Linked DNA regions of Arabidopsis thaliana. The protein of the gene in region 1 purifies or fractionates together with the protein of each later gene. This does not show direct contact. Each region holds a gene or a part of one and is shown on either strand. Other genes may lie near its edges.

What was found.
Region 2: the proteins of FY (region 1) and CPSF73-II purify together in Arabidopsis thaliana (affinity purification with western blotting; one study listed by BioGRID). This does not show direct contact.
Region 3: the proteins of FY (region 1) and CPSF160 fractionate together in Arabidopsis thaliana (co-fractionation; 3 studies listed by BioGRID, with this or other methods). This does not show direct contact.
Region 4: the proteins of FY (region 1) and CPSF73-I purify together in Arabidopsis thaliana (affinity purification with western blotting; 2 studies listed by BioGRID, with this or other methods). This does not show direct contact.

The regions. Positions count from the first base shown.
Region 1 is NC_003076.8:4,325,938-4,333,608, forward strand, and holds FY (Transducin/WD40 repeat-like superfamily protein), read right to left. Parts: upstream 6,035-7,671; 5' UTR 5,691-6,034; exon of another isoform or gene 5,621-5,690; coding exon of another isoform or gene 5,585-5,620; coding exon 5,497-5,584; intron 5,417-5,496; coding exon 5,325-5,416; intron 5,116-5,324; coding exon 4,978-5,115; intron 4,900-4,977; coding exon 4,795-4,899; intron 4,649-4,794; coding exon 4,553-4,648; intron 4,449-4,552; coding exon 4,366-4,448; intron 4,253-4,365; coding exon 4,181-4,252; intron 4,110-4,180; coding exon 4,012-4,109; intron 3,694-4,011; coding exon 3,634-3,693; intron 3,525-3,633; coding exon 3,464-3,524; intron 3,375-3,463; coding exon 3,287-3,374; intron 3,172-3,286; coding exon 3,108-3,171; intron 2,858-3,107; coding exon 2,779-2,857; intron 2,557-2,778; coding exon 2,467-2,556; intron 2,342-2,466; coding exon 2,259-2,341; intron 1,782-2,258; coding exon 1,333-1,781; intron 1,181-1,332; coding exon 1,010-1,180; coding exon of another isoform or gene 992-1,009; exon of another isoform or gene 842-991; intron 761-841; and 4 more.
Region 2 is NC_003071.7:318,541-324,501, reverse strand, and holds CPSF73-II (cleavage and polyadenylation specificity factor 73 kDa subunit-II), read right to left. Parts: upstream 4,070-5,961; 5' UTR 3,906-4,069; coding exon 3,881-3,905; intron 3,783-3,880; coding exon 3,605-3,782; exon of another isoform or gene 3,519-3,604; coding exon 3,446-3,518; intron 3,346-3,445; coding exon 3,228-3,345; intron 3,132-3,227; coding exon 3,058-3,131; intron 2,962-3,057; coding exon 2,825-2,961; intron 2,730-2,824; coding exon 2,666-2,729; intron 2,498-2,665; coding exon 2,432-2,497; intron 2,342-2,431; coding exon 2,272-2,341; intron 2,130-2,271; coding exon 2,025-2,129; intron 1,822-2,024; coding exon 1,680-1,821; intron 1,569-1,679; coding exon 1,472-1,568; intron 1,350-1,471; coding exon 657-1,349; 3' UTR 539-656; downstream 1-538. Other genes in the region: RIE1 (RING-finger protein for embryogenesi), read right to left, coding at 1-3; AT2G01720 (Ribophorin I), read left to right, coding at 4,486-4,590, 4,927-4,971, 5,260-5,891. UniProt on the Arabidopsis thaliana protein: Component of the cleavage and polyadenylation specificity factor (CPSF) complex that play a key role in pre-mRNA 3'-end formation, recognizing the AAUAAA signal sequence and interacting with poly(A) polymerase and other factors to bring about cleavage and poly(A) addition.
Region 3 is NC_003076.8:20,978,463-20,983,025, reverse strand, and holds the start of CPSF160 (cleavage and polyadenylation specificity factor 160), read right to left. Parts: upstream 3,022-4,563; 5' UTR 2,777-3,021; coding exon 2,445-2,776; intron 2,356-2,444; coding exon 2,209-2,355; intron 1,877-2,208; coding exon 1,723-1,876; intron 1,616-1,722; coding exon 1,480-1,615; intron 1,139-1,479; coding exon 993-1,138; intron 669-992; coding exon 573-668; intron 457-572; coding exon 404-456; intron 226-403; coding exon 94-225; intron 1-93. Other genes in the region: AT5G51650 (uncharacterized protein), read left to right, coding at 3,777-3,818, 4,203-4,563. UniProt on the Arabidopsis thaliana protein: CPSF plays a key role in pre-mRNA 3'-end formation, recognizing the AAUAAA signal sequence and interacting with poly(A)polymerase and other factors to bring about cleavage and poly(A) addition.
Region 4 is NC_003070.9:22,473,766-22,479,533, forward strand, and holds CPSF73-I (cleavage and polyadenylation specificity factor 73-I), read right to left. Parts: upstream 4,001-5,768; 5' UTR 3,896-4,000; coding exon 3,752-3,895; intron 3,660-3,751; coding exon 3,562-3,659; intron 3,255-3,561; coding exon 3,209-3,254; intron 3,120-3,208; coding exon 2,970-3,119; intron 2,833-2,969; coding exon 1,189-2,832; 3' UTR 1,165-1,188; exon of another isoform or gene 905-1,164; 3' UTR 865-904; exon of another isoform or gene 783-864; 3' UTR 502-782; downstream 1-501. Other genes in the region: AT1G61000 (kinetochore protein), read right to left, coding at 118-281; AT1G61030 (WAPL (Wings apart-like protein regulation of heterochromatin) protein), read left to right, coding at 4,204-4,613, 4,717-4,816, 4,919-5,258, 5,472-5,584. UniProt on the Arabidopsis thaliana protein: Component of the cleavage and polyadenylation specificity factor (CPSF) complex that play a key role in pre-mRNA 3'-end formation, recognizing the AAUAAA signal sequence and interacting with poly(A) polymerase and other factors to bring about cleavage and poly(A) addition.

The DNA.
Region 1 (7,671 bases):
TCCGGACTCTCGCTTTTGGGTTCTTGGTTTTCTCTCTTCCTCAATAGAGATCCTCCTCAAGTCTGATGCTTTCTCCTTGTGCAGGTTTTCAAAGGGTCGGGCTTTGGTGTTCTAGCTCCTTCGCCGTCTGCTGTGGTGGCTTGGGTCTTCTGGGCTTCTGCCTTTGATCTAGCCTTTTAAACTTGTATTTGGTTGTTTTTTGTTCTTTCAGGCCTGCGTGCTGTGTTGGCCTTTTGGCTTTGTATTGCAACTTTTTTTGGTTAATTGGAAATTTATGAAAAAAAAAAAAAAAAAAAAAAAAGTTTGTCGGGTTAACGAAAACTAGAGTATTTGACATGTGAAGCCACTAAAACTTCGTAACTTGTTCACATTAAGTATCAAAACTAGAGTATTATGACTGTGGTCACTTAACATAAAATATATGAATTTAATTATTAAAAATACAAAAAAGACATGTGCCATAAATCATAGTATTTCATCAATACTTTCTCCACATGGAAGTTGTTACTATGCTCAAATATTTTACGGGTGCAAAAAATTCTAATACAAATTATTTGCATATTGGAACAGAACAAAAACCTTTTTTTTTTATGTTTTGTTTTATAGAAACGAAATTTGAATCCCATATAATAGTTTTACTTCAATCGTTTTATCCCGCAGACAGTGCGGTTGTAAACTAATGTACTAATACAACGGCTGCCTACTGATGTTGCTGATTGTTGTTTGGTGGAGGGCCAGGAGGTAAAGGTGGCTGCTGCTGCTGCACGAAATAAAATATAGACAACGGATTAGTCAACGGATTATGCTATTTTAGCTCTACATTTTCAACATCTAATCATACCATTGAACCTAGCTAGTGAGTTTAAAACTAGCTGAGAAAGTTGTATTGTGGTTCAATCGTATCAGGTGTTTTGCATTGTTGTGTAGACATTTTGCCTATTTGCACATATATACATGTGAAACCTTTACGGGTATACTAAATAACAAAAGACTAGTGTTTAAATGGGACCTGTTGGAAAGGGTTGTTGTAGCCTGGAATCATCTGTGGACGGTTGAAACCACCACGTCCTTGGGGATACATTTGGGGTCCGCCACTGTTTGGTTGTCCTTGAAATACTCCTGAAGGAGCACCCATAAAATGACTTTGCGACATCTGAGGATTCATGCCACCTTGCATTCCCTACTCCAACAACAAGTGAGGATTAATATCTCTTTCTACACCTCTCTAAGATATCACTAAGAAAATAAAACAAAGAGGAATCCAACACATGGGGTACCGACAAAAGCCAGGCTTAAGTTGTGGTTGAATTACAAGAGATCTGAGGGCCATACCATTGATCCAGGCATCTGATGAGACATAGGCATTGAGGGAGGTGGCATGTGACCGTGAGGAGGCATTTGCATAGGCCGGGGAAGATGATGAGGGTGCAATGGCATATGAGATGATGGTGGTAGCTGATGGTGAGGCATATTGGGCATTGGAAGCATTTGCTGGGGATGACCTTGGTGTTGTTGTTGTTGCTGATACCCTTGCTGCTGGCCACTTCCAAGAAGCGATGGGTGGGGACCAGGTGGCAAAGGAGGAGCCCCCAGTGCCATGGAACCTGGAAGAGGCTGTTTATGATCCCCTTGAGAGGATGCATCAAATGGCATTGCTATTCCTATTCCTGGGATAGTCCCCTCGTTCCGTGTCAACCCAGGCACAAATGCTCCAGGGATTGGCGATGCCTCAGATGGTTGGAAATTATCAGGTTGGCGACCAAAACCTTGTTCATTATAGCCTGATACAAATTACGCTTATCAGTACACACAAATCACATCTTCAATTTGTTAGTAAACACTAAATAAAAAACACTAATTTCTGACAAATGCAACTTGAAAGTACATGCTCAAAATTAAAACAGTAAGTGAGATACTAATGACCGAGTACTTGGGTCTGAGTTTTTAAAGCCTGTAGAAATCTGCACCTATATCAGATCAGCTCAGCTTGACCAGTCAAGTCTGTTCTTTTCTACAAAAAAATTCAGTTAATCACGGTGCCATATGGCTGGCCGAGCCTGAACCTTAAAAAGCCAAGGTCCATTTCGAACCAGCCATTATAGGAGTATATGACTGACCCTGCCAGGGCCTGACCAGTTAAGCCTATCACAACATCCTTACTACTGAGATGGATAAGGACATAGTAATTATGTACTACCCACAACCTATCCATCCCAATGCCTACTAAAAAATCAGATACTAATAGCCCAAAAACAAACCTTGGTTCTGCATAAGAACATCTCGGGGATTATCTGCAGGCCTGTTTCTGCACCAAAACTTGGTTGTGTGATCATTGCTACCACTGCAGATAATAGGGTTAAAAATCATTATCTGAAGCATTTAGTTATTCAAGAGCACAGGGAACCACAACACATCATAGAATAAAACTGTAAGGAACTCATAGCACCAGACTATTGAAATTGCTACCTGCAAAGAAGATATCCAATAGGATGCCATGCAAGATCCCAAACACTGTTATCATGAGCATTTGGGATTTCAATCTGCGGGTTTTCATGCCTGGGAATTAAGAAAAGTTTTCATAATTAGATACACCTCAAACAAAAACCACAAAATATAAGGTAAAGTAAGATGCTACTAGACTACTAGTATGTAGATGCATCATGACTGAATATAAAATGTAGAGAAGAAACATGATTTAAAAAACCCTTATAAGTGATTAAAACAATAGCAGCATGAACGAATAAATAAAACAGCATACTGCTGCACAACAGTACCTACCCCACAATCCAATGACAAATGGAGCCGTCAGAGCTCCCACTGACAAAATATTCTTCATGGCAGGGATGCCACGCCAAAGCTTAAAAAGAGTTAAGACAACTTTTAATTAGAAATAGTTGCAAATTAGAAATATCGAAGAAACAAATTGAAAACTCGCATCCATGGGATAATGTCTCATATGTCGACAAGTAAAGCATGGGTACAATGATAATCTTTCAAAGGCATATACTCTAGAGTCCTAGTCAATGTACAGAAAAGTAATTTGATGCGGCCAGTTTGTCTGATTTCACGTGTTTAAAACATGATCATTATAGAATTTGACAGCTTACATGTTACATCTTTCGTGTGCCCACGAAAGGATTGAAGCTCCTTCATAGTCCTTATATCATACAGCTGCAGATTACATGCATAAGTGTCATACAAATGCTTCCATAATGCAAGGAAAAAATCTCATTTACAAATCAATATCCCCCCCCCCCCCCCCCACCCAAAAGAAAGTGAGACTTACCTTAATTATCTGATCTTTCGAGGCCGTTAAAAGCCAATTGCCATTTTGGTTCCACTTCACGCTAAGTACTATGTTTTTGTGACCATGGCTGCAGAAGTAAGAATAGGCCATCAAATTCGTCAAAGCTTTGAACATGAAACTATAATAAAATTACATATTACATTATGTACTACTTACAGTGAGCAAAGCTCTCTCCCAGATCTAGTATCCCAGAGTTTGACAAGTTGGTCTTTTCCACCTGACAACACAGATTAAAGCGGTTAATGATCAGCCATAGAGAAGCTCTGAAATATACAGCGGTTTCTTTTTATTGCATTATTCAAATAGAAGTCTATAAAATAATGTACCAGAAACTAGTAGGGACTTTGTGGGGTGCCAGTCAACGCTCTTGACATCCCAACCATGGCCTGCCTGAGTTCAAAATATAAAGAACCCTTTGATTACTTCGAAAGTTCTCAAATATTACAAATATGAAGAAAACTGTGAAAACATGCCTCCAAAAGGATAGGAAACTTGTTATAAGCACCAATTTGGAACCTTTAAAACTAACTAACGTTACATGGCATGACACCAAAGCGAATCTCAATGACACCTTTTCCTATGTAGCCTAAGAATCCAATTCTAATAACGTACAGCACATCTCAAGCGGCCTTCTAAATTCAAATTAGAAGAGCAAGCAACAAAGAAATAAAGTATCTGCCGCCAATCTGTTCAAATAACATTACCGGTTAATGAGCTTTCATCTACGCACTTGGTAAAATCCCAGACTTTAACAGTCGTATCATCAGAACACGAACAGAACTTCAAATCTGTTTTACAAAAACTGTTGGATACACATTGTTCAGTTTTGAGAGATTCATTTAATGCAATTCAACATATCAAACTTTTTTTTACCTTAAATCGCGAATTGATTCCTTGTGAGCAGTTTTATTGGCTTTCACATTGTTCATATTGTTCTGCCAATACCTGATACATAAGAAACAATTGATCCTTATTGTCACAGCATTTGAATCATAGAATTCTGAGCTTCTCGTTTACAACATCATAAGTTAGGGACTGAAAGGGAAAAACAAATTTACTTTAATGTGCCTCCATCATCACCAGAAACCATATAATTTTCATTGTGGCTCCATACCATCGACCTAATAGGTTGATCATGTGCCTGATATTGACAACAAATTTAAACAGTCAATACCAGGAGCAGCAACTATAGAAGAATCAAAACAGAAGTTTCAACAGATTAGTTATACAATCTGAGAAACGAACCTGAAGAATCATTTCAAAATTAAAAGATTGCCCATTCCAAAGAGTAAACTCCCCACTTTGGGAGCCCGTGATAAGACGTCTTCCTGAAGGTGTCCACTAAATAAAAGAAACCCAATCAGCAATGATCCCATTAAGTTGGCATAATAGAGTTAAAACAAAGAAAGAAAGATGTTGCTTTCTTGAATAGATAAACATGGCAAACAGAGAATAATACAAAACACACAGCTGGTAGAGGGATATACCAATACACGGTTGATTGAACAACGGTTCTTGTTTAGAGATGCGTGAACAAACTTTGCAGCAAAGCTTGTTGAAGGATTATCCGAATAGGCAACTGTGGGAAGCATCTGAAGCATTGATATAAAAGTTAGATCAGTAAACCATTCAATCTTATTGCAAAACCCAGAAAAGCAAAGAAATCTAACATCAACTGCTGCAGCTGGGGTTGGTTGCAGAGTGGTCCTATCCCTTGAGTCTCGCTGCCATGTTCGAGCCTGAACAAAAACATATATGGAGTAAACACTCTCTACTTTTAGTTCCATATAAAGTATGAGTTCGTTGAACTACATATCCATATCAGTTCCATGACATAAAGACAATCCTATCTAATGGCTTTTGAGATAAAAAGGACCGAAGAATTCAACTGGGGAAAGCAGAGGCTATGAGTATATAGACCAAGACTAAAACTTTACAGAAAACAAGAGAAATATAATCAAGCAGTACAAAAGGTTCTAACAAAGAAATACTGTGAGCAGCAATGGGAATACATTACCTGAATATATCTAACAACGGTGCTGGTGTAATCAACAGCTCTTCTCTGTGTATGCTTTCTCATTCGTTTCGCCCCAAAACTGTCTACATTGGCTGCAACATCAGACAGAGAGACATTAAATCTCACAGTCATCACTAATCCGATAAAAGGAAGACGCTCAAAGTCTACTTACGGTCGAAGGGGCCAGATGGGTGGTGGTAGTCGGGATTGATGTTAGTGGAAGAAGCTGACGACTGCCGCATCATCGGTGGTTGTGGCATCTGTGAACCCCTGTGCATATCGCCGCCGGCGTACATTGTTGCCCACGGAGAACAGTGATTTATTCGAATCGAAGGGAAACTGCGAAAGTGTTCGAATTTAGGTTACCTTGAAACGAGCGTGGATCTCTCTTTAGGGTGTGCGTGTATCAAATTCGCGAATTGATGACAACCCAAGAGCAGAGAAGTACAATGGGTAGAGAAATGATGAGAAGTCGATAATGGAGTGAAGAGTAGAAATAAATCTTAGGGTTTTTTTTTCTTCCTTCTCGGCAAGCCAAACCCTCGATCGCCGGTCGGTTTTAACCGATAAGATTAATAAAATCATCAAACTAATCAAGAAGTCGATTGGTTTAGCTTTTTTAATCTCCACGATTTTTTTATTTTTTTTTTTATTTTTTTTTTTTTGGGTGTATGTTGTTACTTGGCCTACCCTATCAATTAGACACATATGTTCAGGCTGAACTATGTATTGCGAGTAGGAAATAACGGATGAGTTTGTTTAGTAAACCCATCCGTCGGCCTTCCGGTTGATCAACAAGCTCGAGGAGTGTATCTTAAGCAACTAACCGCGAGATGGCATGAAAAAGATCTGAAGAACTGTTGAGATCAACGAGATTCTAGGGTGGATACTGCGGATCGGGCAGGACACGTGAAGGACGACTATAAAAGAAAGAGGAAGAAGAATGAATAGAGGCATCGCCATTAACATTAAGAAAATCCTAGTATTGTATTCACATCGAACTCTAATGTCCCAAAGTGTGGTTTTTTCTAGTATTGTTGTTGTTTTACTGCTTATTTCACAATCATGACAGAGTGTGTGTATGAATTGTAGATGAAAACACACACATAATTCACGTATTCATAGTGGAACATATTGAATAAATATTCAACCCAAAGATAGTGGTGATGCAAATTAGTCTTTTTTTTTAAAACATTAAAATAACTAAATATTTGAAAGAGTTAAAAGTAAAAGAAAAAAAAACTGACACTAGTAAAACGAATTACAAAAATTCAGAAAATGTTACAATCTTTTTTTTTTTGGTTTAATGTTAAATTAAATGTTATAATCTTGTCATATTAGAACTTAAAATCTCCCAAATAACAAAAAAAAAAAAAAATCGATATACGTTATTCCAAACAAGATTCACTACATCCCAATGGCAATGCTATATGAAACACAATCCCAATCCGCTATTATATTCCACTACGAAACTTAATCATGTTAAAACCCTGTTTTGCACTTATAGAGTATAAATAGACTATGTTAACAGGTTTCAACATTTTTTTTTTTTTGGTTTAATGTTAAGATTTATACCAAATGAAAAAAGGTTTACATAGTACAATGAAACCCCAAAAACACACCGAGCTCTTGTGAAGAGAGACTAATGGAACACCATACATACATAAATATGAGCTTTGCCACACCTATAGTGGGGTACTAATACAACCAAAGTAGAATCCAAGGAGAGAGATAGTGGTAACTGATTCCTCCGGCGAGAAGGAGATGAGACGGTTACGCATTGTGCGATCAACGAGAATTTTTGTAGCGGAGAGAGAGGTAGCATCTGCTGAGAAATCTCTGCGGTTGCGCTCTTTCCAAATCATATAAACAGCGGTTTGAAGAAGAAGTTTTAAGATCTTACTTGCATAGTGCGGCGGAGAAGAATGTACACCAAGAACCCACATAGAAGCCAAGGGTAAAGAGAGTGGAGGATTCGGCGAAATCCTTCCAGCGAGCGAAATCCAAAGTGATCTAGAAAACTCACATTTGAAGAACAAGTGATCATGGGAATCAAGGCCAGAATCACACAGAACACAAGAACCATGTACATTCATACCCCACTGTAAAAGCCTATCTCTCGTTGTCAACCTTTCATGGGAAGCCATCCAAAGGATAAATGAAAACCTTGGGACAGATTCCTTAAACCAGACAGCTTTATGCCAAGCCACATGAGGAGAAATTTGTCTAATTTGCATCCAAGTTCCTTTCGAAGAGAATGTTTCAGAAAAAGTACCTGTGGGCTGCTTCCATTGGTACCAATCAGCACCTCTTAAAGGAGAAGGCGGGGCAACCGAGGACAAGCAAA
Region 2 (5,961 bases), on another chromosome or scaffold:
CATTAGTAACGAAGAGAATTGAGATTCTTCTTTCTCTCTGCTCTAGAAAACGCTAAGCCATGGCGGACAGTTTTAAAAAATGGTTTTAGTTAATTAACATTAATTGAAGATTAGACACAGTCTTATAAGTTAATTATCATTATCACAATAAGTCGTACGTCTTTAACCTTAAAGGATCCGGTTAGGAGTGGCCATTCGGATAAACGGGTCGGATTCGGGTAAAATTCGATCGAATACGGTTTTTCGGGTAGAGAAGTTTAGGATTCTATAGGGTAAATCTAAAATATCGGTTCGTGTATAGATTTTAGGCCTTTTTTAGAACCATACTTGATTTTGCGGGTAAATATGCAAATTTTTCGGATTTCGAATAAAATTTAAATTTTTGATTAAAATATTCATGTATTTTTGGGTTCGACTTCAGATTTGGTTTTTAGGGTAGAAGAATTTAGGACACAAGTAAATTTTCGGATTCAGATTCAGTTTCGGGTAATTGGTTCCGGTTTTTAATACGGGTGTTACTTTGTTAGATAGAAATTGGCGCTAAAGTTGGTAAGTTTAGTTACTACTGGGTTAATTTAATTTACTAGGATCAAAACTTTTACATATGCCGACAGAAAAACGACAAAAACTGAAAACACTTCTCAGTGTTACAAGAATCAGTGATTTAGTTTGATAGCATTGATGATTTCCCAGCCAAGCTCTAAATCTGCGATAGACCAGTTGCAACACAAGAACACAGCTTCACTACTACTACTACTGCTTCGATGCATACACTTGTCTTTTAGACACAAAGAGCCCTTGAAAGATGCAACCTGCAAACAGTTTTCAGATTCATGGATCTGAGCACCAGACACTGTCTTCAAGATCTTTGCAGACAATTGTTTGATTAGATCAACATCATCATCTTCTGATTCTCCTTTAACTTTCACTGGACAACAATGAGCTAAAGAGACCACATGGTTTTTCTCATGTAACACCTCAGAGATTTCATCTTGGTGAACTATCTTTGCCTTTTTGCTCTTCTCTATTACCAAAACCCCGTCTGCGGTTCTATGGTCTGTAACACGGAGCTGAGTAGAGTTTGAGAATTTGAAATTCGGGTTGGAGCAGCTTTTTAGGAACATATCAGAAGCGTTTGCTTTTATATAAGTGGTTGAAGCGAATGAAACTGTTTCGCCATTGGCAGGGACGAAACAGGGGATGTCAAGCTCTGAGGTTATCTTTTCCTTAAGAATCATCATGCTGGGTTTTTCGCCGTGCACGAGTACAACGTTCTTTGGGGAAAGGAACTTTGTGAGATCCATTATTCCTTTTGCATCTGTGTGAGGACTGAAAGCCACTTGATGTACCTGATAACAACAGAATCAACAAGACATTTTAGTTTAGGTTCAACGTGTGAATTGGACGCATTGCTGTTTTCGTGTTAAGGTTACATAAATTTTGTGAGAACCAGAAGAAAGAGTAAACAAACCTTGCAACGGACATCGACCTTGGTGCCATTGTAGAGATCAACCGTCGTGGGTTTACCAGCCATCAGTTTGTGCCCAACGGTCCCAGCCACAGAGTATCTGTAAAAAACGGATCCATAAATGGATGAAAAGAGATACAATTTCGTGTTAGATGCTATGCTAGGAAAAAACTGAATTGCTAATAAAGGGGAAACACAATAGGTATAGTACCCGGGTAATGCAACAAGATTCAAGGGAGAAGGAGCCCAGTGCTTGAACACTTCAAGTGAAAAGCCAGCACAAAGCATACCAGGTGTGGCAAAGAGAACACATGGCCCAGGAGCATGTATAAGAGATCGATCGAAATCTTTAACTGCAGAATGTGAAGGTAGTAGTTAGAAAGCAAGCAGAGTTGTACAGCTAAGGTAGTGGATAAGAACAAAAAATGGACGCAAAGGATGTATTAGAACCACTAGTTTGGTTCTTATTTTTCAAGCACATCAGAGTTTCGGTTCCATATGATATAAATTTCATCTTCAACGTTCTAAAGTTATTTGCAAATGGTAGTACACATACCATTCTTAAAATCAAATGGGTTATGCGTATTGTGCTTTTCTTTAACGTTCTGGCTTGTCCAGCTGATGAGCATTTTGTAATACATATTTGCTTGGATGGTCAAACCTGCAAAAGTACAAATTTATCTTCAGGGACAGCAATTTTCAGAAGATAGAGATCACTATTCATGAAATAGAGTCACGACTTTGTTGAGCTGACTAATCTGCAGAATTGATTTCATATGAGGATTGGTGGTGATTTAACAGACCTGATGAGAAGTAAATTGGAACCTTTATATTCATGCGTTCCCAGTAATCATCAAGCAGCATGCAGAGTTCCTGAAAAAGGAAACGCAATTGTCAATGAGACATAAGAGAAGCAAAGACAAGTTTAAGTAACTGACTTCAAAGCTCTGTAAGAAGACAGACCTGAGCCCTTCCAAGAGCAAATGAAGGAATCAGCGCCTTCCCTCCGCCAGCAACACATTTATGAACCTGGAAGAGTTTTCTGAGATATCAGACAATTACCAAACGAAAGCTTAAGCATTTCCTGAAGGGGTATATTGATCAGAAACAAGCCAAAGGTGATGCGGGTAATTATAATCAAAAACCATTTAAGAACAAATTTAGAAACCATGTGTTAATAGTTACAAGTAGACATACAGCTTGAAGAAACTCTCTCTCCCGGGGATATTTTGAGCCGCGAATGGTAGTTGCATATGTGGACCTAAAACGGCATAGTTAAACCTATATCAGGTAAACTTGTTCTTTCTAAGTTTGTTGAAAAATACCAGCGAACAAGTTTGTATTTGTTTTCCATACTCTGAAATGAGAAGATCCAACTGGAGTCTGTCAATTTTAGCAGCTCCTAGATGTCTATCTGTCGTCATATTGTAATCTCCAGTGTACACAATCGCTGCATCTCCCATCTTTGCATAAACCATCACTGCTCCAAGGACCTTATGATCAATACAAAATAAGCTTTAAAAAATACAGAAACTCTGAATATAAAAAACACAGAAAGAAATTCACTAAAACCAGAACGAATGTCTTACATGCCCTGCATAATAAGCCCGGATTTGAAGATCTTCATCAACCTGAATTGTTTGCTTCAAATCTATTGCAATTACTACATATAAAAAAACAAGAGGAAGTCAAGTTATAGACACTGCATCTGAATTCGTGCACAAAGACCTCAAATGAACTAAATCCAATATTCAAGTACCTTTTTTCATGCAGTTTGCGATATGGGTAGTGGTGAATAGCTCCTCCTCGCCTCTTCTATCCACCATCACTCTTCGGTAGTCCTCAAGCATTAATGGAGACAAAGCCTTTGTGGGATACTACAAAAGAGACAAATCAAAGTAAACAACCTTTACCTTCACAAAAAAAAAACAGTCAGTCAAACATTTCATCGAACACCTTGAGGACAATATAACTCACCGACATATAAATCGGACCATTGTACCCACAAACTTCCGTGAAGTAAGGAAGCGCTCCAACATGATCCATATGGCTATTAACACTCACAATTAAAACCCACAAAAACTAAAAAAGTGAATTTTAAAAAAGGGACAAATTCTGGGTTTGAAGAATCAATACAAGTGTGTGATGATGATACAAGAGATCGCGTTGTCAAAATCACCGGATTTAGATATGAGAGAAAAATTTGGGTAACGATTGTGATCATCACAGCCCATATGCATCCCACAATCGAACATTATCTTTTTACCATTAATCGTCACTACCACACAGCTCTTTCCAATCTCTTGTCCAGCACCTGGATACAACACAAAAAAGATAGAATTATACAGAAATTGAAATTGTGAAACTTTGAAGAAGCAAAGAGAGAAGAAGAAGAAGAACAAAAACTGTTACCAAGTACGAGACAATCGATAGCCATAGTTACTGAAGAAATAAACAACAATTTGAGTTTCAAAACTCGTCGATGGTCAAAAATATCTTACTCGTTGAATCAGAACACAAATTCAAGTGACCGGAGAAAATTTTGAAGGGGGCGAGAGAAGAAACAGAGTTAGGTCGACAAACGAATTTGAATGGCGGCAAAGTGTTCAGTGACATCGGAACCGTTCGGAGTTATTACACGTGTCTGATCCAACCGTCGATATTTTTGTGGTGTGAAGCCCAATAATAGTTCTTCTCACGGCCCATTAAATTTAAAAGTTTGAAACGACAACGTCTCATGTCGTTTTTAATCTGAGGAAGAAAAAAGCTCGTAACTAATCCCTAAATCAAGAGAGAAGTGAGAGACACTGAGACTTTGTAGTTGACCGGATCATTCTCACTTCGCCGGCCGACGTTCTTCCTTCCGCCGTCGGTATCTATATTTACGATCCACGATCTCTCTTGCTGTTTCTGTCTTCATCGGTGAGTAATTTTTTACTGATCTTCCAAATCCTATCAATTCACCATCTCTGAGCTCTTTCGTTGATTTGAGTTTTGTTCTTACTGCAGTGACGAAAATGGCTGCTCGTATCGGGATCTTCTCCGTCTTCGTAGCTGTATTGTTATCTATTTCTGCATTTTCCTCAGCTCAGGATCTCCAGATCGTAAATGCCGAGCGAAGGGTAAGATTCTCCGATCTATCTTCTTCTTACAATTCATAAACTTCCTTAATGGATCCCGTTTCTCCGATTTATGGAAATTCAAGTTAATGAAGTTGCCGTTGGGCTTTGCTGTTTCTCCGATCTATACTCGGTTTGTAGAATTACTGTGTGATTGGTCACTTCATGGTTGATCATCATCGATAGGCTTCATATGTATGTACATTGATAGATAGTGTGACTTTTCATCAGTTATACGTTTGATTTGAGTAATTAGAAAGTCTAATGATAGAACCTGTTTGCAAAATTTTCTTGCCCGAAACTGAAATGCTTCTCCTTTGTGTTTGTTTTTGTCTACAGATTGATTTAAGCTCACATATCGTGAAGGCCTTCTTGACTCTCAAGGTATTTATAAGCAAATGTTTATAATAGTTATTCCTATTGAATATACACTGGAAGGTTGGAACTTAGAATTGGAAAATTAAAGCTTTTTTGGATATGTTATATGAAACTGCAGCTGTTTTTCTTTTAGTCAAATTTAGTTTATTGTAGTGATACTTGTTGTAAAGGTTGGAACTTTAGTGGCTTTGATTCGTTGTGACAGTTAATTTGATATTATCGCTTTTCTCCTTCATCATCTTTAAGTTTTTCTATTAGGAGGTGACATTTTCTTGTCTGGATTTCTTTCTTCAGGTTGAAAATATTGGGAAAGATCCTGCTGCAGAAATGCTTCTTGCTTTCCCACCTACCCAGATCAAGAATTTGGCTATGGTACAAGCCCTGGCAACTACTGGCAAGAAGAAGAAGAAAACTTATTTGCCATTAGATGTAAAACCAACTGAACAACCTGATGCACCAAATGACACTGGATACTACCGTGTTACGTTTATTAGCCCCTTAGGTCCGGGTGAAACTGTTTCACTTGAGGTGCTTTACATATTGACTCATTCCTTGGAACCTTTCCCAGTGGAGATAACCCAGTCAGAATCTCAATTGGTTTACTATCATGATAGTGCAGTGATATTGTCACCGTATCATGTTAAGCAACAGACAACTTTTATTAAGACTCCTAGTACTAGAGTAGAGTCGTTCACTAGCATTGAACCTGCTAACCGGGCTGGCAAAGAGATCAAATATGGACCATATGAAAATCGTGCTTCATACTCTTACACACCTGTCATCATTCACTTCGAGAATAACAGTCCATTTGCTGTTGTTGAGGAGCTTGTGCGTGAAATTGAGATTTCACACTGGGGTAGCCTTCAGATTACAGAAAATTATAGGTTGACTCATGGGGGAGCGAGGCATAAGGGTGTTTTCTCAAGGTATGTAATGGGACTAATAACTTCTATAATGTATGAGGTGACATCTGAAAATTTATCTCTAGGAGTTAGA
Region 3 (4,563 bases), about 17 Mb from region 1:
TAGCAGTCAGTTTCACATATTTTAAACAAAATAAGTTGCAGCCAGCTTTACAAGCGTCAGAAGATTTTTTTTTAAAGAAGATCAAAATACTACCGCCCATCATATATAAGAGTCAGCAGCAACAATTCCCCAGATTTTGTCGACAATAGGGCCACATCGTTCGATATCCAGGTTCCATGGGCAGCATCAAGCTCCACACTGAAATTTGATGCAGGCAGTTCTTGACTGAAAGAAATCAGACGCACACAGAGATAGAAATGTGGTTAACAGTATAAACAGAGTTTTACAAATGTTGAAAGTTGATTCTAAGCTTTAGGATTCTAAACTAAGACTGAGGTAACAAGATTATATCCATAAGCATGAAGCAGGTTTTGAAGAGTGGGGAGGTGCGAGAAAACTGTACCTGCTATCAGCTGAGGAGGCATAATTGTTCAGTGCCAGAGCACAGGAGGCTGACTACAAATATATATGGTATCCAGATGTGTGAGTAACTGTAGAACTTTGAGGTGGAGTGGCTGGAATTGTTGAATTTTAAACAAGAAACAACCAAAAGCTAAGTAATATAAAACTACCTGACTATGATAATGGATTGTATTTGCACACAACACAAGAACACCTCCGATCGGAGATGGTACTGCAAGTAGTTTGTAGGCATCATGGGGCAGATTCTGGAAAATACCAAAAGAATGGGAATAAGTATGATCAGGGACTAACGTTTGCCGAAGTAACTATTTCAGTCATGAAATAGCTTGTTATTTTAGGAAATTTTTCCTAAAGAAAGATCAACTCTTTGAGCATTCTAAACAAAAAATAGAGCATCGTCATAGCTGATTGGAAAGTCTAGTCATGTAACAACAGTGGATATTCAATAACCTTTTAGATGACTTCAATTTCTACCCTTAGCTTACAATATAGTTAATAGTGCAACTCAAATATTTAATTTCTTGGGAAGAGATCTATTATAAGATACAAAGAGGAAAATACGAACATACAATAGCTGACCAGATGACTGGGTGTTGTTTTAATGTCGAATTGATACTAAGGGCAGAAAGCACGCAAGTATGGTGCTTCCATGAAACTCGCCCAGCCCAAGTATGCTCTTCTTCCTGAAGGATGACAATTACAGGCTCAATATAACCTGAAGAAGACACAGGATGCAAAAACACATAATCAAAAGAAGCACCACTTAGTTTATTCTTTATGCCTACTGGGAAAACTAGAATATCTAAAATTTCAGACAGCTAGTTATTGAAAAATCAAAGAAACAATACATTTCCTCTTGTTTCAAACTGTAATCATGACCAGAATACATCAGTTGTCGTATTGAATCTACAAACAACAACTTAGTAAGCTAGATCCATTCAAGGACACAAGATTCGATGCAAGTTGAGCAGCTAAGAAACAATCATCATAATATATTTATGATTAACTACTGATTCAGAGATAAGTTTATGAAGAAACCTTGCTTGCTAAACCTACCATGTAGAAAAACAAAATCTTTGACGTGTTTCATTTCCAGATCACGCAAGTTAATTATGTAAGATGATTCAACTCGAGCAGAAACTGTCCCTCCAGAACTGAACGCATCATCATCTCCAACTAGTCCAGAACCAACCTAAAACCCAAAATAAAGTTCATAAAAGAAAAGAATGAAGGTTGGAAATTTGTAGCAGATAAAGCGACAGTTAAGATGAAGTTGATTAATAATGCCAAAACAAAAACCTGGGAAGTCTTGAGTATGATCATCTGCAAACCATAAACAAGAACGCCGCCACATCTGCCTTGAGGATCCACTTTTACCAAAGGGCCTCTTGGAAAAGACTCTCTTCCTCTTTTCAGATGAAGCCAATCTGGACCCTCAAAACAATGCATCGAACTGAAAAGGAACCACATATCCATTATTATTTGTTGAAGTCATGTATAGGAGTCAATGGTACATAAATTAGATAACTAGAAGAAACAATCAGACATAGACAATAGAACGCTTCAGTATATGATCCAATACTACGTAACTTGCATCGCTAGAAACAATAACAATGCGTAAGTAAAGACCAAAACTTTGAGAAGTATAAAACAGTTAAAACAATAGTTGGACACAGAACATCTCGTATATAGGTCAAAAGAAACAATTGAGAGGAGACAGAGCTGAAACTAAAGCTGAATTCATTTATTTATTTACCAAAACCAACAAAAGCAAAACACTCTTACGTCATCCTAAGGCTGTGAATTGAATCATCAAACTCAAGAACTGAAATTTTGGCGTCGCGAAATGTCAATATAATCGAATCTCTTCCCTTAGAAGAATTACCACCTCCCATAGGAAGAACCGCAATTGACTCAACATTACCGTGCAACCTACAATCCAATACCAATCACATCGTCACTTCAAAGTCAAAGTACCAAAATTGGAGTAATTTAGGAGGTAATTGTCAACAAACACGTACCTATAATGGCACACGAGCTCGAGAGAAACACCATAGACACCATCCATAACTCCACCACGCTTAGCAAGCTTCGGATTCCTCAGCTCCTGAGTATTCCCTTCCTCTTGAGCCCTAACGATGTACACCTCAAGGATATTTGCGGCGGTTATAACGACGTTGGGCAAAGGACCAATACCTCGTTTAGGATTAGGCCACTCAGCTTCAATATCATCATGAACGGAAACAATCGGAATCTGTAGCGTTGAATCGGAGAGAGAGTGGGTGATATAGCCGGAAGCACAGTTCTCGACGCCGGTAGGCCAATGCATCATCTTATAGGCCGCGAAACTCATCTTCTCTACCGGAATCTGGGATTCAGAGATTCTAATTCTAAAAATTGAAATTGAACTAAGAAGATTGGGAAGTGAGTGTGAGAGCAATTTAGGGTCTCGATTTTGTGAACATTAAAAGATCAAATCCTTAAACCCACGGGTTTTAATTTTAGGTTGGTTTTTTTTTTTAAGGGGAAACAGTATATACTCTTTATTACGAGTTTGGTCTTTACGAATTTCTTTTCCTTTAGTTTTTTTTGGGGATTATTTGTTTGCAAAAAGAACATGAAATATTTTGCGAAATCCGTTATATGTATCAAACTTGTATTGTCCAAAAAGTAATACATTTTTAAAAAAATAAATGTAATGTTCTGTTTTTAAAAGCATTAAATCAATGATGATGTGGATGCATAAGAATTGAGAAGAGAAGAGAGGAACTTGTTATGAACTTTCTGATTGGGACACATATACACATCTTTGGTCAAATGATGTTTTTCCAATGATCTTTATTTTGTTTATAATTTTCTATATCGTTTGTCAACAAATAATGCCCAAAAAAAGAGGTATTTCTTATCACTATCTATGACACACCAAAGCCAAAGGGAAGATAGTCCAATCTTTATTTAATACCCAATATATACCATGAAACCAAATTTCTTCTAGAAATATACTACAACATAAAAGTAGTGGATTTTGCACCATGATTTTGTTTTTGCAACATAAAAGTATTAGAAAGTGTTATCAATCATTTTGAGTTTCATTACTGCATTAAAACTTTATATATCGAAATATATCATTTTGTAAAATATTTTTGTTTTCCTTTTTAGTTCTAAAAAAGATCCTTAGTATCAAATTTCCCCAAAAATCTTTATACTTCTAATAAAAAAATCTCAGCAAAAATATGTAAGAGATAAACGTATTTATTATTTATGTTTTAGATTGTGTTTTTGTAATTAGTATTTTAACCCCTTAAACAACTTAGAGACGATAAAAAAAAATATAATTTTCACTTAGAAAGAGGATGACAGTAATTGTTTTGGAGAACAAGGGGATGCCTTATAAGGTTTATGAAAACAAATGCTAATAATTAATTGATTTAAAGATACGTTCATATAATATTTCTTATTAATTGTTGAAAAATCTTGAAAAGGAAAATAACCAACTTTGGGCTTCCTCTACTTCTCACCTCTTGTCCTCATAAAATAAGAAACCTCCTGCAAGTCTCTGTGAAACGATTTTGAGTGTTCCTCCCCCATACAAGACGACAACAATGATAGCTTTAAGTTTAACCACCTATAACTACTCTTTTTACATACTTCTTCTTCTGCTTCATCCTCTTTTTCTCCAAATTTTTATCTTATTTCTCATTACCAGAAGAAAAAATGTCAAGGAAGAAAATTTTTACACTGTGCTTGTTAAAACTATTCACAAAGAGATACTCTCTTAGGCTCCAAAGCCTCGATTCCTTTTCGAGGATTTTTGGCATCCTTTAGTGGCCAAAGGAGTTCAACGTGTGGTTCAGGAGAGGAAAGAGGGACTTGAAGCTCAAGGGAAAGAAGAGGGAGTTGAAAAGGTTCTTGTGGAGAAGGAGAAAGAAGAGGCTCATGTCTCATGGGAAAAGGATGGATCTGTGTCTGTTGCATACACATATGCCATTCATCACTTTAACCTTGAACGTGACCTTATCAACTACTCCAAGTGGACTGTTTCTGCACCTGGTAACGAAAATGACTACTTTGATACAAAAATCCTTGAAGAAGAAGTTGGCATTATCTGGGATCTCAAGGAGAAGAAGAAGGACAAGAAGA
Region 4 (5,768 bases), on another chromosome or scaffold:
ACATAATTTCTGACAGAATTCGATGACCTAGCTCGAAACTAGACGAAGAGTTTCAAAATCGAGGGTAAAATTGAGTGAAGAGCTAAGAGAGGAACTAGGGTTTTGAGGAGTACATACTCGTCGAGGGCGTCGAGATAGATAAGAATTCTGGTGTAAAGCTCGGAGACAAAGTCGGAAGTTGGGGTTTTGAGATCGGTCTCTGTAACGCTAGCGATTTGAGCATCCTTGAGCGCCGTGATAATGTCGGAACGAGAGAGCCTCGGGTACTCGTAGGCTGACATAGTTTTCAGTTTTGGTCAGGTTCGGATTTGTTGTGTCTGGATTCGAAGAAACTGAAAATGACAATTTGGAAAGAAATGAAAAAAAAAAAAGAGAGCCTTTGATTTTAGTTGGGTCAGGTTCGATTTGTTTTTTGCATTTGCTTTTCCCGCCTATATGAAACTGCAGTCTCTGCAGATATTGATGCATATTTGGATACGGTAGAACGTAGAAGCTTTTATAAATAAAATTAAAAAAGAAACTTTAATCTACAAAAAAAAAAATTAAGCATTTTAATATTGTAGAGATTTGGTCTTAATATCTTGATGCACTAGACATCTTGCCAAAACATAGAGGTCAAGAGACATTCACTGATGTGAATAATGTATACTTTGTACGTGGAAAAATAATAGAAAATGTGCTCATTACAATCTCTCTTCTACCTTACTTTAGCTCAATCAGACCTGCCTTGTACTTTAGAGGCTTGGTAGAAACGCATCAAACGACACCGTGTATTCATGAAACTGCAAATATCAAAAGCAAGGCTCACTAATATGTCTTACAAAGAATCTGGAAGAAGCCTAGTACTTTTTTAACTTTAGAAACCTCTTAACTTGATGCACCACAAAGCTTTTGCTTCCATATCCTAGATCAGCATAATGATAGAAAAATGCATATGGGAAAAGCACGAATCAGCAAAATGATTTATGAAAAAACCTAAAAAAGTTAAAAACTCATAGTTGATAACATCCATAAGACTTGATCATTATCACAGTAGGGTAGTAGCAAAGTTTCTCAATAAACACCTTCTTAAATAACATCCATTAGACTTGATCATTCACTATTACTAAACATGGGAACAGAAACATCATCAGATGGATAAAACTCTATGATGATTTAAGATACCTCAACGATGACTTTAAAAAGCTACTAAGAAGCTGAGAGAGGGATTGGTTTCACAGCGCTCTGAATCCGCTCAAAAGCTACTCTCACTCTTTCCTTAAGACCTGAATGCTCACTCTCTACCTCTCCACTCTCTTTATCCAGCTGAGCGACATTGCCATCGACCCTAATCACCAGTTTCCCGTTTTCTCCTAGTTTCACATCCCCGAAAAGCGAAACAAGAAGTGCGTATATCACTTTCTCAACTTTCTTCCCGTTCTCTTCCTCGGATTTCACAGCATCTTCTTCTTCCATAACGATCTTGGGGACTTCTCGGCTGATGTTGAGAATCAGAGCTACAATGGAGTCTGAAACCATGTCACTTATTGGATCTGATGACCACTGAAGTGAGATGTGCTTCTCTGACTCTTGTTTCACCGTTACTCTTTCATGAACTTTCAGTGCTGGAAGCCCCGATTCCTCATCTGTTGAAAATTCCACGCTCTCGAAAATCTTCTCCAGGCGATGTTTTATCACACCAAAAGCTCCTACAAACGGGATTGTAATTCGCTGAGTTACAGTTGCTGTTGATAGCTGTGAGAAAACATGGAGTTCGTCAGGTGCCATTATCTGATAAGTGAACCCTTTCTTCACCAGAATCCCGCTTACTGTATCGCCAACATCAGGTGTCTTTTCCGCCAATCTCCCAATGGTTTTCGCCAATTTCTCAGAATTAAAATACATTTCCACTGACTCACAGTTCTTCGGGGTCATGATCTTTGTGTTTCCATCAGGAAACTCTGTTAAGAGCTTCTGTTTGAGCCTCATCATCTCGTTAGCTTCACCGTGAACAAGGATGATGTTAGGAGGCATGAGCTCTTTCAAGAACGTGCTCGTCTGCGCGTAATCTGCATGAGCAGAGAACGATATATAGTGCACTTGCATGTTGAGCGGAGCAGTAAGACCATTCATAAGAGTCACCTCCTTTGGTTCATTAATTATCGTCTTGGCCAGTGTACCTTCCACCATATAACCTGGTATGATACAAGCATTCTTCTTATCTGAACACCAGCTGTCAAAGAGTTGCCTTGAGAGACCGCTTTGAAGACCTCCAGGAGTAGCCATTACCACAGATGGACCGACATCATTAAAATCATCGATGCTGTTTAATGGAGAAATGTGCTTGAACACAAACGGATTAGAATTTGCAAACTGGTTGCGGATTCTGTCGTTCATAGATAATATGTAGGTTTGGTAAACCGCCATACACTTTTTGGCGAGTGGTGATGCATAGTAGATTGGGATATTGTGTAGATCTGGGTGGTTCGCCCAGTATTCATCAAGAATCAAGAGAAGTTCCTGAGCACGGCCCAGTGCAAAAGCCGGGATCAGCACACGTCCACCCTGAGCAACCGTTGAATGGATTACATCAGTGAAGCGTTTCTCACGAATATGACGAGATTGATGAAGCTGGACACCAGAAGTGGATTCAATGATGCATATGTCAGGGGAGAATTGAGGAAGCTCAGCTGCTCTCAGATGTCGGTCTTCCTCACGGGAATAGTCGCCTGTATAGAGGATTCGGACACCAGCTATATCCACCATAAACATGGCTGCACCCAAAACATGGCCTGCCGTGTAACACCAGAACTTTATGCCATTCACTTCAACTGTTTGATGGAAGTCAATTACCTATAGAGGAAATCAAATATAAACCTTAACTCAACAATCACAGTTTTGAAGCAGATTTAATTTCTTTTGAACTTATCCCAAACCTAGTGGAGCAGTCAAAGTATAAACATAGTCATAGAATATAATGCAGTACTAACCTCAATTTTGTCCATAGACTTGTTGATGTCTTGTTCATCGAACAACATATCTTCCACAGACACTTTGCTCACTTTTACATAATCTGTAAGCAACAGCTTGTAGATGGCCTTTGTTGCATGTGTCATGAAAACCCGCCCATTGAATGTCGTCTGATCAAAACATCAATAACCTGAATTAGTTCTCAGCTATGTTTTAACACATCCCAAAAAACAAAATCATTTTGAAAAGAGAAACAAACCTTCTCCAGAAAATAAGGTAGAGATGCTGCATGATCTATATGAAAGCTGCAACCAAAAGCATCAACACATTATATGTTATCTTAACCCAATAAACCTCTTACACAAAACACAAACTCTTTCAAGTAGACAAACAGAGACAGAACAAACTCTAGCCTCCTACAAGCTTGAACTAATTAATCCAAGAAGGTCTCTCTACTACACATCATCCTTCTGTTTTTGTATAAACAAACTTAAACTTCGAAGATTTTGCTCAAATTATCATTCTATTCAAATCAAGACTATCATTTTCTCTTCAAAGTTTCAATTTTTCTTAATGGGTATTAGCCAAAAGAGGAAGAAGAAGGAAACATACTGAGTAATCAAGAGGACATCAATGGAAGAAGGATCAATCTCATCGAAGTAAGGCAACGCAGCCATGCCCGAGTACGCAGGATGAATCCCACAATCAAACTGCACAACACAACCAAAATCAACTATAAGACATGCCCCAACAACAAAATCAAAACACATTTGCTTGATTAGAACAAAACGGAGAAGCTGACCAGAATATTTTTGCCTCGGAAGGACATGTAAACACAGGAACGACCCACTTCACTTCCGGCTCCTAACGGAGTAACGATAAGTTGATCTCCATCTCGCGAAATTGGTTGCTCTCTTCTTTTCAGAGAAGTAGAAGAAGAAGCCATGTTTCGTCTTTCTCGATTTTCCTCCAAGAGAAGAAGAAACTCAAAGAACTGAGTACAGCAATTTCAGTTAGTGTATATCTTCAAACCCTAAAAGCCTTTAAAAAAAAAAAAACGACCACAGTGGGAGTCGAACCCACGACCTTCTGATCCGAAGTCAGACGCGCTAATCCACTGCGCTATGCGGTCAATACATAGCAATTGAAAATATTATATTTATATAGAAAGTCATATTATATACCGAAAATACCCTTGTCTTATTTTGTCACTCAAATCTGCGAACGAAGAGAAAATTCGAAGCTTTCTCGGCGATGATGGAGCGAACTTACGGCCGTCGCAAGCCGGGGATGTTAAACGACGACGTCTCGCGGGCGGAACATATTTTTCCGTCTTCTTCATCTCCAGAACTCGAGCCAGTTGATTTCTCAACTCAAGAATCATCTTGTGTCTGGAATTATTCTTCAAGATCCACTTTTTCGGATAATGATTTTTCTGAGAAGAGGAACAAGAGACCCAGAAACGGTGGTGGAGGGTTTGGTTCGAATTCGACTTTGATGGAGGCTCAAGAGTTCGGCGAGTTAATTGAGAATGAGGACGAAGTTAACTTCGCTCTTGATGGGTTGAAGAAAGGACATAAAGTTAGGATCAGAAGAGCTGCTTTGTCCTCTCTACTCTCGATTTGTGAATCTCAGTATCAGCGACGCTCTTTGAGAGCTTTAGGGTATGTTTATTTACTTAAGATTTTCAGTATCTTCCTTTCTAGACTTTCTAGGGTTTGTTTGAAGTCGAGTTCTTTTAAAAGTTTCTGAATTTTGTTATTTCAGGATCTCACAGTCCATAATTGATGCGATTTTGGGTCTTTGCCTTGATGACATACCAAGCAATCTTGCTGCAGCTACCCTTTTCTTTGTGCTAACTACTGATGTAAGTAACTTATTTGCATTGTGAAATCTGCTTGTGATGCTCTTTTCTCTTGCTCCATTGGCATTTTTCTCTTGTTTACTAGTTTTATGTTCATGATTCTAGGGTCAAGATGATCACTTTATGGAGTCACCCAACTCCATCAAGTTTTTGGTTAAGCTGTTGAGACCTGTGGTTTCTGCCAGTACTAAAGTAAAGCCGCGGAATATAGGATCTAGGCTCTTATCAATAATCAAGGATGTTGATGCAGCACGTGATGCAGCCAGTATGCATGATTTAAGCTCCTGTGATATAATTGACAGAGCTCAGGAAATTCTTGTTAATTGCAAGGAGTTGAGATTGATTGATAGCTATAAAATCGAGAGGATGAGGCCTGAGCTAAGTACGAAATGGGTAGCTTTGTTGGTGATGGAGAAGGCGTGCTTGTCCAAAATCTCTTTTGATGGTACTTTAACTTCCTGTCTGTTTTGCTGGAACAATGACTAGCTAACTATTTAAGACGCATCTGGTATATTATATTGAGTTATAGAATTGGAAAGTTATGTTATCTGCTTCAGTGAATCAGTTTAACAAATGTGTCAGCGGTAATAGAATCCTACGACCAGATTATAATTGATTTATAAATTTCTAATTATTGATATTATCATTCCCCATCCAGATACCTCTGGTACTGTGAAAAAATCTGGAGGAATGTTCAAGGAGAAACTGAGAGAACTTGGAGGACTTGATGCTGTCTTTGATGTTGTTATGGATTGCCACACTGTAATGGAGGTGTGAACCTGTATGTTATAGGGATCTTGCTATATATGTCTTTATTTGGCTAGGACGTCAATAACTTGTGTAAAGTGTCGTAGATTGGTAGCTTTATAATTGTTTGCTATCTTCAGGTTCATGTTTTATTTCAATCTAATTTATTGCTGAAAATCGTTGCAAGTCAAGGTTCTTTTCTTGTCCT